4 linked regions of the Ovis aries genome follow. The protein of the gene in region 2 purifies or fractionates together with the protein of the main gene of each other region. This does not show direct contact. Links are inferred from orthologs where the notes say so. Each region holds a gene or a part of one and is shown on either strand. Other genes may lie near its edges.

Evidence for each region. The genes of interacting proteins can lie anywhere in the genome.
Region 1: the proteins of STIP1 (region 2) and HNRNPDL fractionate together in Homo sapiens (co-fractionation; 3 studies listed by BioGRID, with this or other methods). This does not show direct contact. The link is inferred for Ovis aries from reciprocal best matches to the Homo sapiens genes STIP1 and HNRNPDL.
Region 3: the proteins of STIP1 (region 2) and DNAJB6 purify together in Homo sapiens (affinity purification with mass spectrometry; 3 studies listed by BioGRID and IntAct, with this or other methods). This does not show direct contact. The link is inferred for Ovis aries from reciprocal best matches to the Homo sapiens genes STIP1 and DNAJB6.
Region 4: the proteins of STIP1 (region 2) and ACLY fractionate together in Homo sapiens (co-fractionation; 3 studies listed by BioGRID, with this or other methods). This does not show direct contact. The link is inferred for Ovis aries from reciprocal best matches to the Homo sapiens genes STIP1 and ACLY.

The regions. Positions count from the first base shown.
Region 1 is NC_056059.1:97,922,990-97,925,477, forward strand, and holds part of HNRNPDL (heterogeneous nuclear ribonucleoprotein D-like), read right to left. Parts: coding exon 2,428-2,488; intron 2,280-2,427; coding exon 2,165-2,279; intron 1,616-2,164; coding exon 1,445-1,615; intron 1,144-1,444; coding exon 1,073-1,143; 3' UTR 1,052-1,072; exon of another isoform or gene 680-1,051; 3' UTR 1-679. UniProt on the Homo sapiens protein: Acts as a transcriptional regulator. Promotes transcription repression. Promotes transcription activation in differentiated myotubes. Binds to double- and single-stranded DNA sequences. Binds to the transcription suppressor CATR sequence of the COX5B promoter.
Region 2 is NC_056074.1:38,952,107-38,955,625, reverse strand, and holds part of STIP1 (stress-induced-phosphoprotein 1), read right to left. Parts: intron 2,729-3,519; coding exon 2,602-2,728; intron 2,512-2,601; coding exon 2,409-2,511; intron 2,192-2,408; coding exon 2,071-2,191; intron 980-2,070; coding exon 758-979; intron 1-757. UniProt on the Homo sapiens protein: Acts as a co-chaperone for HSP90AA1. Mediates the association of the molecular chaperones HSPA8/HSC70 and HSP90.
Region 3 is NC_056057.1:120,213,927-120,217,445, forward strand, and holds part of DNAJB6 (dnaJ homolog subfamily B member 6), read left to right. Parts: intron 1-170; coding exon 171-280; intron 281-1,871; coding exon 1,872-1,931; intron 1,932-2,681; coding exon 2,682-2,792; intron 2,793-3,519. UniProt on the Homo sapiens protein: Has a stimulatory effect on the ATPase activity of HSP70 in a dose-dependent and time-dependent manner and hence acts as a co-chaperone of HSP70. Plays an indispensable role in the organization of KRT8/KRT18 filaments.
Region 4 is NC_056064.1:41,823,475-41,826,993, forward strand, and holds part of ACLY (ATP-citrate synthase), read right to left. Parts: intron 1,972-3,519; coding exon of another isoform or gene 1,944-1,971; coding exon 1,785-1,943; intron 556-1,784; coding exon 433-555; intron 1-432. UniProt on the Homo sapiens protein: Catalyzes the cleavage of citrate into oxaloacetate and acetyl-CoA, the latter serving as common substrate in multiple biochemical reactions in protein, carbohydrate and lipid metabolism.

The sequences.
Region 1 (2,488 bases), on a different chromosome or scaffold from region 2:
AATTATAATCATCATCATCTCACTTTGAAGTTCCCATATGATACCATATTAAAATTACTTAAAAATATTAAAATTTACTTAAAAAATCAGGGAACACAATCTTTTTTTTTTTTACAATCTTTTCATATTCACAGATTGAACTGTGCTAGATGCAAGGTTTACTAGAAGTGTCTCTAGTAAGCCATGTAAAATTCTATTACAAACATGAATTTCTAACACGCTTGTATTTCAAGGCAACAAATTGCTATGTGCATATGATCTTTAATTTAAATCCCAGATTTTAAAGTTCTTGTTTTGGTTTGTAGATTTCACTATTAGCTATAAAAAGAAAAAGCAAGCATTAAATCTTAAAGAATGAACACTTAAAATGAGGCTCCACAATTGAAATACAACACTAAACAGAAGACCAAAATGATTAAGCTGTAAAAAGGCATTTATGTACTTTAACTCCTGTAAAAAACCATTTAAGTTAAGTTTAGACACTTAATCTTCAAAAAGATTAAAAAAGAAGCCAAAGTCTGAAGTTTTCCACTTTAATCTTTACGCTGGTACATGAAGTTGGAAGAGACCATACCACAGGACAGCGTTTTCTGGTGTATGCCTTGCGCTCTGCCCGCAACGTGCGACCCCCAGAGATAGACGTGGTCAGGGTGACACACGGCCTGCAATGAAGTTCCCGCTGGCGGGTACAAACAAGGTATAATGTCAGAGTTAGAAGACAACATTCTTGTTTTCCTTAAGTTGTACCCATTTCAGTACTTTACCTGTTAATAGTTCTAAAAAGTTTAATTATTCCTCTAGACCACCTGGTACACAAAGCAAACAGAAAAACTCTTAAGTTTTTCTGTTATTACTAAAGAAAGTGAGATAAAACTTTAAAGTTAAAGATCTATAGACATTTTAGGCAAAACAGGCTCATAAAGCAAGTAAAAATTTAACAATTTAGTAAAAACACGCTACGTGGTATTTTGTTTTTACTCATTTTCATTTGTCTATTGATCTTTAAATTAAATTAGACATTTCCACTGGTTTCTTGAACTCTGATACACACCTGTTTTCTGCAGTGTCCCCTTTAATATGGCTGGTAATTGTTTTGGTGATTGCCACCCCCTCGGGATGCCTTGCCGTAAGTACTCTGTTGGCCTATGTGGAAAAGACAAAAAAATTACACTTAGCTTTTAATGATATGGTTTTGCTATATATTTAAAAGCTATTAGATATGCAAAGTTCTGCATGCCAAATAGTAGAATTAAGACATTTTAAGTTACTATAAATTAGGCACATACCACATTCTAGAATGCTCATAATAACCAGTCACTAAGTCAGTATAACCCCGTGACTATTACATCTCAAAAATTTAACTCTAAACACGTCTATAACACAATCTCAGAATTGAGATGAATCATAATACCATTGGTTTATGAAGTTAAATAAATATTCTTACCACTGTAGTCTGCATATCCCTGTCCATATCCATAGTTCCCATAGTTATACCCAGTATAATCATAGCCGCCATAGCCACTATAGTTTTGATCACCACCATAGGCACTATTGTAATTTCCATATCCTTGATCATAATAGTTATTAAATCCTTGGTTCCAGTTTTGGCCCTGACCTGAAACAATGCACAATGATTGTTAGGAAACAACTTCTGACCCCCAATCCTAAAATAAAATGATGCATTCCTGTCCCTCACCCTGGAAATCTTAAAAAGGAAGAATGGACATTTACAGTGCTATCTGGTCAAGAAAATATCACTACAGTTATTAAAAAAAAAAAAAAAAGGGTGTGTGTGTGTGTGTGTGTGTGTGTGTGTATCAAGTCCAACTGTGCCAGTATCAGGCTTCCTAAATCTAATGGGGGATAAAAAAAAATCAAGGGGACAGCAAGCATGTTTAGAACAAGGACTCCTGCCACAGAAAACCTGTCATGCCAAGGTGTATCATGTAATCTTATTACATTCAATGGGACTATTTTCCCATCAGTACTGACACTGTCAGAGTGGCTATTCTTTGAAGAAGTGAAACCAGTAAAACAAAAACCCATGGACTAAAATGAGCGTGCTCTAACAGTTTAAATTTGGCTTTACTCTCCAATGGGCTTATTCATATTTAGCAGTTGATAGCCTAAACCATTGCCTCATTTCCCTAGAATTAGGTCTCACCTCGGCCTCGACCCCTAGTACCACCTCGCCCACCAGCTGCAGCACCTCTTCCTCCCTTTTGTTGTTGCTGTTGCTGTCTATATACCTCTTTAGGTTGTGCAACTTTGATTTCACACTAAAAACAAAAGATAAAAAGAAGACAAAACTGTTACCACTGTTCTAATGTCAAGCCATTTTTTTCCTTCTCAAAACAGGTTATGAAATTCCCTTAAAACAAAGAAACCCACCCCACCGTTCACTGAATAGAATCCAAATGGCTTTACCTTCCCAGAACCAATTTGATGGTATCTGCTTTCTAACAATTTCTTTACTGGCTCCTCGTCT
Region 2 (3,519 bases):
AGTTCACCCCTCCCCCAAATCAAACACAGAACTGCAATACCTCCACTGCTGCGTGCAACACCTGGAAGGACCGATACGAGGGACAGACAGACATCTGTACACCCCCGTTCACAGCAGCGCCGCCCGAAGCAGAACAACCCCCACTGATGGGTGAACCGACAAACAGTGTGGTCCATCCATACAACAGAATACCATTCAGCCACGAGAAGAAAACACCGACATGCTACAACATGAACCTCGAAGACACTATGCTAAGTGACGTGAGCCAGGCACAAAAGGTCAATGCTGTATGATCCCACTTACAGGAGGTCCCCAGAGTGATCAAATTCAAAGACAGAAAACAGAACACTGGTTGCTAGGGGCTGGAGGAGAGGAATGGGGAGTTTAGTGTTCAGAAGATGCAGTTCCACTTGGGAAGATGGAAAAGCTCTGCAGCAGAGGGTGGCGATGGCTGCACAACAGTGTGTGCGGACTCGATGCCACTCAACTGTGCAATCAAAACGTCAGAAAGGCCAAACAGTTAACACATGGAGAGAGGCAACAGGAAGGGAAAAGGGTCTTCTTTCCCAGGCACTTCCCACGTGCCAAGTAACACTACACGGGCCAGGACAGGGCACACATAGGCCCTGCACTTCACAATCTCATACATGCACCATCACCTTGAATCTATGATCAAAATAAGAACGTCAAACTGATGCTAATGAGCACATGAAAAGAGGAAGACACATTCCTCATGGACAGGCTGCCCTGCCCTCACCTTGAGCGCCAGCTGGAACTCCAGGAGCTTGGTGTAGCAGGCAGCTCGGTTGCTGTACAGCTTGGCGTCTTTGGGGTTCCGTTTAATGGCTTCTGTGTAGTGCTTCATGGCCTGGGGGTAGTCCCCTTTCTGGAAACACTCATTGCCTTTATTCTTCTCCTCCAAGGCCAGGTCAGGGTTTATGTAGGCCAGCCGCTCTTGCTCCTTCAAGATTTTCTCTGCCTAAAAAAGGTTCTTTAAATAGTCATTTAAACTCTCGTAACACTGGGCTAATAAACAGTCTTATCAGAATTTCAGTTTTCAGAAAGTACTGCTTGGCGGTGGTGGTTTAGTCACTGTCGTGTCCGACTCTTGCGACCTCACAGACTGCAGCCTGCCAGGCTCTTCTGTCCATGGAATTCTCCAGGCAAGAACCCCAGAGTGGGCTGCCATGTCCTTCTCCAGGGGGTCTTCCTAACCCAGGAATTGAGCCTGGGTTTCCTGCACTGCAGGCAGATTCTTTACTGACTGAACTGTGAGGTACTGCTGGTGAGATTTAATTTTGGGATTAATAATTTTACAGTCCTTACACTATGTACAAACTACAAAGATAAACTGTACAGCACAGAGAATATAGCCAATATTTTATAACTTTAAATAGTTCTGAGTTGCTGTTGTATGACTGAAATAATGTAAATCAACCTTACGTCAATTAAAGAAATGAATTTCACATTTCTCATTATCAAGATGTATATACTATGAAACAGAACCACCGGTATTGACATACACTTGGTACAAAGATATGCCTTATATGGAAATGACGGATTAGCAGCTCTTATTTTTCCGACCAATCTTTCTGTGAATAAAATCATCCCCCTACATACTTTGGTTGTATAAAGTAAGAAAACATTTCAGTTCGATTCAGTCGCTCAGTTGTGTCCGACTCTTTATGACCCCATGGACTGCAGCACGTCAGGCCTCCCTGTCCATCATCAACTCCTGGAGTCTACCCAAACTCGTGTCCATCGAGTCGGTGATGCCATCCAACCATCTCATCCTGTCGTCCCCTTCTCCTCCCGCCTTCAATCTTTCCCAGCATCAGAGTCTTAATTTACAATAAAAGCCACAACGCTGTCAGTGCACTGACCCTCAACAAATTTAAGGTCAAAACCCTGGTCGACTGAAAAAGACAGCAGAAAAACTGGGTTATTTCTATGTGTTCTCATCATTAACAGGGGACGCATCATACAAAATAACCGAAGACAACAAATTCATTACTAAATAAATGACTACAATAAATCGAATTAAGAAAACATCCCTCATTCCCTACCCACCTGTTGGCATCTCTTGAGCACATCTGGGGTTCGGTGCTCTGCCAGAGACTTGTTGTAGAAATGGATGGCATCCTTGTACTTTTCTTCTTTGAAATAAGAGTTGCCAATTCGTGCGTAAGCTCTGACAAAGACCCAAGGAAAAAGAATTTGCTAAGGGCAGAGCACAGACAAGGTCAGCCTCTCCAGAGGAAAGACATCTAGACACAAGCCCGCATCGCTGGGCCCCGTACCATGCCCTTCTAACGCCTTCTGTCTCAGCCCCCGCAGCCTCCTTTCCGGCCCCCCCATGCAGACACGGGACCCTCCCCACTACCCAAGGCACTCCAGGGCAAGCGTACTTGGCAATCTGCCGGTAGTCTTCTCGGTTTTCTCGCCCCACTTCAATGGCCTTCTCACAGAGCTCCCGGCACTGACCGTAGTCACCCTTTTCGAAGTACACGGCTGCCAAGCAGAAGGTCAAGAAGGAAGCGTCAGCCCTTGCCTCTTCCCCGGGGCCTTGGGAGCGCTCCCGCGCCCGGGCCCAGGCCTCACCTGCTTGGTTGGTTATGTACGTCATGTTGGTGGGATCCAGGTCCTTGGCTCTGTCGTAGTGCTTCAAGGCTGTGTCAAAGTCCTTCTTCTTATAGGCTTCATTCCCCAGCTCTTTTTCTTTCAGCGCCTAGAGGAAGTGCCAAAGAAAGAGGGCTGAGCACACCTAACCCAGACGGCAAAGGGAGCCAGCGCCTGGGATGTCACAGGCACGCGCAGCACACACACCCAACGATGCTACGGGAAGCAGGTTCTCCACACCCAGAGAGGACTATCAGCTGTTAGGATGGAAAACTGGTTTCCTCTCTGCTTCCTCCGAGACACTCCCTTATCCCACCTACTCTCCTGGACCTTCGTCTGAAAGTGAGGGCTTCCTCAGAGAAGGGGAAATCCCCTCAGCTTGAAAGAGTGGGCAACACAGCTCTGTGCTGGGTTTAACTCTGATAGGCTGAGTAAGTTCGCTCTCTCTCACACGCAGTCTCTGGGTCCAAGCCACCAGGGAACATCGGCAGAGGGGTGAGGAGGAGAGGGAGGGGCTGTCCTGGTGGCAGGAGTCTTCAGCAGACTCACGACCACCCACACCGTAGGGCCCTTTTCCAGCTTTGAGACACCATGAGCAACCAACGCTTACCCATTTAACGGTACTAAATTTGGCAACAATCTGCTGTTCCCATTTATAAGAAGGGAAATAAAACCGTTCAGCACAGGCCTGCTGCTCTGAAAGACTGAAAGTTGTCTGCTAAGCCAGGAAACAAGCATATGAGCTGACAGACAACATTCTTCTAGATCACAAGAACAAGGACCACACAGTCTTCGGGCTGGCCTTGGCTGATTTCCACACTGCCAGAACCAGCAGCCAGAGCCACAGTGGCCATGGGACCCCGGGGCAGACTCTGAGACGCACGATGCCTACGCAACTGC
Region 3 (3,519 bases), on a different chromosome or scaffold from region 2:
TGTGTGGGGGGGGGGCGTCACTGGTGCTGCCCCTGGGGGAAGGGCAGGGTGTGCGCCACGCCTGTCTAGTCTCCGCTTAGAGCTTTTGCTTTGGAATGTTTGCTTCATATGATACATTAGGCACCACCCTGGAAGTGGGATGTGATCAGTGCCCTCAACTCCTTTTTAAGATACAGGAAACTGGCACTGAAGTGGCATCCAGATAAAAATCCTGAGAACAAAGAAGAAGCAGAGAGAAAATTCAAGCAAGTAGCTGAGGCGTATGAAGTGTTGTCAGACGGTGAGTGGGGAGCGTGGGGGCTGTGTCCCCGGGTGGGGCCTGCAGAGGAAGGCCTGGCCGAGGGGCTTCGGGGTCGTGAGGGGGGTTTTCTGGGCAGACTGGGTGTCCTGTCCCCGCCAGCCTCCCGATAAGGCCCTGTGAGTGCTGTGTGCCCTGGCCTCTAGGCGTCTCCCGGGCGGCTCTGTAAGTCTGCCTGGCGCCGGAGGCCGCCGGGGCCTCTGGCCCACGTCGCCCTCCTGAGCACCCTGTGCTGAGGTGCTGGCCTCCTGGGAAGGCCCTCCTGAGTTTCGGGAAGTCAGGCGTTGCGCACACTGCTGAGGTGTGGACTCCACAGCTTGTACGCTTCCCTGCCCTGTTAAGAGTTGGGAGCTGAACGGCGCTGGAAGCTCAGGCCTGTTGGTTTAGTTTCATGGGTCGTACAGAGGGTGTTAGCCAGACCTTGGGTTCTTGGTAAGAGAAGCCTTGGGGCAGGGCGAGGACTGTGGAACTTCGTGAGAAAACTGGAAGAGTGCTCACAGCGCCTTGCCGGGAAGCAGCCCTGAGTGACCTGGTGTGACTCTCGGCCGAGGTGCTTGAAAGACTAGACCAGAGGAAGCGGACACCTGCTCTGGTTTAGAAGAAGGCCTCGTCACCTCACTCCATGAGCGTCTGGTGTAGTTGACTATCACTGTCCTGCTTGTGTGCCTGATCAGCACTCCCAGATTTGTGGATCCACAGATCAAGAACATGAGACAATTTGAGAAGTAAATTCAAACGTCAAACGTGATTTTTGGCAGCAGCAGAACCTTTAAAGCTGCCATGAAAATGCTGCCTTTTGTGTGTATTTGTAAGGGGGAGTCTATTCTTCATGCTTCCTTAGGAAGCCTTCAGTTCCAGGAGTTACCGGCACAGACACACAGCTACTGTTCTTAAGGCGCTGATAGCCACCCTGGCTGCGGATAGCTTGCTTCCACACTTGTTTCCCCGTTGCCCCCTTACTTGCCACACACAGTGTGTCTGCAGAGCCTCTGTGTCTGAGCAGGGCTGCACTGTTGCTGCTCTTGTTTGAGAACCATCGCCCGGGCTCAGGCGGGCTGCTGCCTGGCCAGGGACGGCCAGGCTGGGGGCTGGCTCCATGTGGCCCCTCTCTGCCCTCGCCAAGGCCCTGTCCTGCTCCTTGCTGTGCCGTGGGTCTTCTCCCGAGTTGCACTTTGTAGTCAGGTCGATGTCTAGGGGTGGAGTCGCTTTGCAGCTTTGTAGTGGGGTTTTGATGCAGTGCGTGGCACACAGTTAGCAGTAGAGTGAAATAAGGTTTTTTTTTTTTTTTTTTTAAATAAGTCTTTTAAGCTTTACTTAAAAATATTCTGAGGTGTTTTTAAGGGAGTTGTTGCTGTTCAGTCCCTGAGTTGCAGCCGGACTCTTTGGACCCCGGGGGCTGCAGCCGCCAGACTTTGATGCCCTCAAGTGTCACAGTAAGGGGTCCCAGCTCTTCAGAAACAAGTGTGGGCCTTGAGAGCTGTGGGGGGCCTTTCGTTCACAGCTTCAGAAACGCTTTACTGACTTTGAGGGAAGAGAACTTGGTCTTTACTGACTTGTCTTCTTAAATTTATAGCTAAAAAACGGGACATCTATGACAGATACGGCAAAGAAGGATTAAACGGTGGCGGTGGAGGTACGTGTGTGCACACTGGTCTTTCTCCTGGCCTTGTGATGAAAGGAGGTGCCCTGATGATACAGTCTGACTGCGATCCAGTCTGTCAGTCAACAGGAATGCAGTCTGTAGAGCAGGCTGGACTGGGGAGAGGAAGGAGAGACTGATGGCCTGGAAAAGGCCTGTTAAAAATCTTGTACTAGAAAGTACTTACTGGTATACCTTTCGTAGATAGGAAATACCGTAAAACCTTACTATCATACACTGAGTGTACCCTGAGATCAATATTGGAGGTTGTGTCAAAAACATCCTTACTGGATGTTCTATCAAAAAACTAAAGAGCCACCAAAGTGGCTGCCTCTGGTCATGAGGCTTGGACGTGTGTGTTTTGATGGAAAGTGGCGCAGTAACCTGCTGCCCCGCGAGCTCCGTGGTGGGCGTTTGGGCTTGCACACCTCAGACCTCCTGCACATGCCCGAGCAGCTGTTCCACAGCCTGAAATGCTGTGTGTGGCTGGCGCACCCAGAGCGGCGGGAGCCCCCAGTGCGCGGGTGGCTCGAGGGCGGCTCGGGGACCGCTCACGGACATGGACCTGCGCGCGTTTCTTAGCTCCTGGCGCAGGAGACTTTGCTCCTAGCAGGACTTGCGCGAGCTTCGGGTGTATGGAACTCATTCGTTGTTTGGGTCGGGATGCAGGTAGTAATGCGTAGACAGTGTGTGTCAGTGCCTGCCACGCGGGAGGCCCTGACTGAGCTGTGCTTGCTTCTGTAGGTGGAAGTCACTTCGACAGTCCATTTGAGTTTGGCTTCACATTCCGAAACCCAGATGAAGTCTTCAGGGAATTTTTTGGTGGAAGGGACCCATTTTCATTCGACTTCTTCGGTAAGTTCTTCATCTGGGTCGTCATTCACATAACATGTTCATGACTCACGACGACGGATGCACCCTTGCCGTCTCACCACTCTTGTAGCTTGTCCTTGAACTTGCTGTTTGAGCGGTGCACGAGTTTAACTAAACCCTTTTCCCTTCTTCCTGTGGAAGATGCTGTAGAGTTTATACCTTGCACGTTAACATAGTGAGAGTTTGAGTGTGGACTTTACACCTTGCACGGGAACATAATAAAGGTTTGAACGCTTTGTGTCCTTGGCTGTGCGTTTCACCCTAATTAGCTTCCTCTGCAGTGGGAAGGAGGTGGGGCTGCTCCTGGTCGGACAATGAATTCTCTGAATTTCCTGTGTAGGAGTCTGATTGAAAACACTAAGCATCAAGGCAGATGTTGCTCAGAAGACATTTGATTCATAAACTTCTCTTTGTTTTTCTGATTGTGGTGTTAGGACTGTTAAGTTTGCAGTTCTTGGAAAGAAAGGACACCTCTAGAGCAAGGTATCACAAGTGTTTGTCTTTGAGAATAGCTTTGCCGGGAGACCTTGCTGCTCTGGCTGCTCTTCACTGTAGGAGAGCGTTCCCAGCCGCTGGCCTCCGGGTCCTGGTGCCCGATGCGAGGCGGCGTGGCGGGAATGCGTGGCAGGGTCTGGCATTGGCAGTGGGGTGAGCTGGGCCGCCTGCCGTGCGCACCGTGATGCCTGTTGTCTCTGCCCCTGGGTGGGGA
Region 4 (3,519 bases), on a different chromosome or scaffold from region 2:
GAAAAGAAAGGAGTTCCCAGAGTAGGTCTCAGAGTCCCATCACCACGACTGTTGTTAAAGGAACAGACTATTTCGGCCTGGCTCGGGTTCCTCAGGCTCAGCTTCCCTGTAGCACGTGGGATCTTACTTCCCCGACCAGGGATAGAACCTTCATCCCCTGCATTGGAAGGCAGATTCTTAACCACTGGACCACCACAGAAGTGCCTGTAATACTTCTACTTGTACAGCACATCTCACCATTCCCTGTCAGGGGAGCTCGGAATGAGCATCCAACTGGCCCTACTACATAAGCCAGCTCTGCAGGACTCCTGCCCTCCCCAGGCTGCAATCGGACCAGTCGCGGGGGTGATCCATAGGGTTGCAGATCTGGAAGCAGCCATGTTTGCTTCTGTTACCACAGCACATCCACCCCAACCCTACACCCAGACTCACTGTAGCCTCCTGTCCCAGGCGTGGCTTCAGCCAGGACTTGACTCCATCCAGAGTGAGGTTGACCCCAACTAGGCCCAGCTTTCCACGCCGTTTGATCAGCTGGTCTGGCTTGACCACCAAGCTCTGGAACAAGAGAGTTGGTTTGCTTGTTTTGTGTTTTGGCTGAGCCATGTGGCTTGTGGGATCTAGTTCTCCAACCAGGAATTGAACCCAGGCTCTTGGCATTGAGAGCCTGGAGTCCTAACCCCTGCAGTACCAGGGAATTTCCAAGAGGGGTTTGTATTTAGAGCAAAGAAGGAGAGGGAAGAGTTAAGAGGTAATAGTCTAGGGCCCCAAAGCACAGGATAGCCTGGGTGGCTTCCAATTCACCCCACCCCCAAGGTAAATTCCACCCATCTTCAAGGTCAGCTCCCAGAAGCTTCCTTCACCTATCCCAGCCAACACCTTTGACAACCGGGAATCTAGAGCTGTCCTGGCTCAGGATAGGGTCTGGCACAGAGTAGGTGCTCACTGAATACCTGCTGAATGAGTAAAGGATTCCCTACCCTCCCTATGTGATATCTTAGCTTCATTCAACACCTCAGAATATGGACCGGCACCCACATTCCAAAAAGAAAGAATAGAAAGACAGAGCCCTGGGGTGACAAAGCACCGCAGAAGACATCTGGTCAAGACATCCCTATGTTTGAACCCCACCTACAAGATCTACAAGCAGCCCCTGGCCACTGCTCACACACCTCCAGTACCAGGAAGTTTACCAACTGCCTTTGTGGTTTGGGGTTTGGGCTGCCTCATAGCAGAAGGAAAATTGCATCCCTGAACACCCTCCCACTCGGCCCCTCACTGGTCCTAGTTCTCTGGGACCTGCCAGAGACGTCCAAATGGATCTACAGAGAGGATTCCCTACTCTGGGTGGATTCCATCAGCCATTCTTCACAAAGTACAGCATCGCATTTCCTCGTGGCCCTGACATATTCCTGACGGAGCAGGTGCTTTTTACTGAGCATTTACCAAATGCCAGGCAGCAGACCAAAGACTTTCCAGGCATTATTGCTAGTCCTTAAATTCACAGGGTGAGTGGTTTGCCCATATGACAGATGGGGAATCTAAAACTCAAGAGAGGTGAAATGGTTTGCCCCAGGCCACATGGTTAATAACCAGAGAGCCGCCACCCGGACTCCAGCTGACCAGTTCCAGTCCAGGCGCAGCACCTCAGCGTGCGGCACAAAGGGCTGAACACAAAACGCGCTCAGCCCCCTGCACCCTGCCCACCCAGGCAGGCCATCTGCCATCACACGTTCTAAGGGGACATCTGGGCCTGGAGGAGGGGCCTGGCGGGACGGAGGGCTCACCTGGCTGAGCAGCCACGGGTGGTCCTGCAACAGGCGGGCCCAGTCTGTGTCAGGGGTGACCCGGGCGTACTTGAAGCGGTTCTGGATGGCCGAGGTGGTGCAGATGTACTTGTAGAGGAGTTCTTTGCCTGTCTGCTCAGAAATCGCCTTGGCCGACATGGCTACAGAAGGCCCTGCGCTACCTGTTGGGGAGAGAAGGGCTGGTCAGAGGGGGCGGGGAGATGGAGGCGCTATCTTCTCCAGCAGGACAGACCCCCACCCAGCTGCCCCAGAAGGAAGGATGGAAGGGAGATCTCAAACAGCACTGACCACAGAGAGAGCGGATTAGAAAATGATGGGTGAGGACAGAGGGTGGAGAAAAACAAAGGTGGCATTTACGTCCCCGGGGACTCATGGCCTCTACTCTCCAGGCAAACTAGTTCACCCAAGAGCACATTCACGAACATTCACCCTGGAGCAAAGAAAGCTGGATGGGGAGACCATGAATAGCAGGGATGTGACCCAAACCTGAGTGCCTGTCCCACCCGAGATGGGCACAAAGACCCTGAAATGCACCCTCTAGTTCTGTGACCTGCGGGGAACACAGTTAAATAGTGTAAGACTGGCCCTACCCCTCCTCCATGTCTGGTCTCCAACACACTCAGACTCACTCATTTTACACACTCACACACATCACCAGCCCGAAGGCTGGGTAAGCAAGTCTATTTAGCCTCACGCAGGACCAAGCCCCCCAGGAGTGAAAAGGAAGAGTTATGTCAAAGTCCATTTCTCCCAGGACACCAGACTCCCACCCAAGTTCAGAGCTGACACAGGGCGGGAAACTGTGACCTACAGTGCATCCCACCCACCCCGCTGAGTCATCCAGCTACTCATTTAGAGCAAAACAGAGTCCTCTCTGGGAACCACCCATACCGGTCACTTCTAACCGACCCAGAACTGGGGGAAGAGAGGCAGAAGCCATCCTGGGTCACATGTAGGTGAGCCCGGGGAGGTGCATGGAGATTGAGAGTCCTATTTCTTATTTTTATTTTTGGCCACACCACATGGCACGCAGGACCTTAGTTCCTCAACCAGAGATCAAACCCATGCCCTCCGCAGTGGAAGCACAGATTCTCAACCACTGGACCGCCAGGGAAGTTCCCACAGCCCTATTTCTTAGATGAGGAATAAAAGCTCAGAGGGGTTAAGGCAACTTGCCCAAGAAGCCTAATTAATACGCAGGGGTCCCGAGGCTTGAACTCAAACCCTCTCACTCCTGGTCCCCGGAAAATCCCACAGTCAGCCCGAGAGAAAAGACCACTTGTCCAGGAGCCAGGCCATTTCCCCCGTTCACCTCGTTCACCTCACAGAAGGGTCTGTGATGACAACTTCACCTTCCCTCCCTGTCACTTCGTCCTGACACACCCCTTCTCCCTTAGTGCCTGGAGCAATTTGGGAAGATAAAGGGTGGGGAGACAGGAAGGGCAAGGAAACTAAGTCATTCATGCCAAGAGTTTGGCCAGATCAGGAAGTCACTCCTGTCTCTCCAACAAAGATCCAGAATTGAGGTTGTTGAATTTACTGGGAGAGAAAAGCCAAGTGTAAATAAAGGAGGGTGGAGCTGAAGGGCTGGCTGCTTTACATATTCAGGAAGGTTGGTCTCTCCATTTCCAGCTCAGGGAAGGCCAGAGTTTCTGGGGCCACTCTGCACCTCCTTTCCAATTCGCCAGGCTGGGCTTCAGGTTCTAATCCTGGC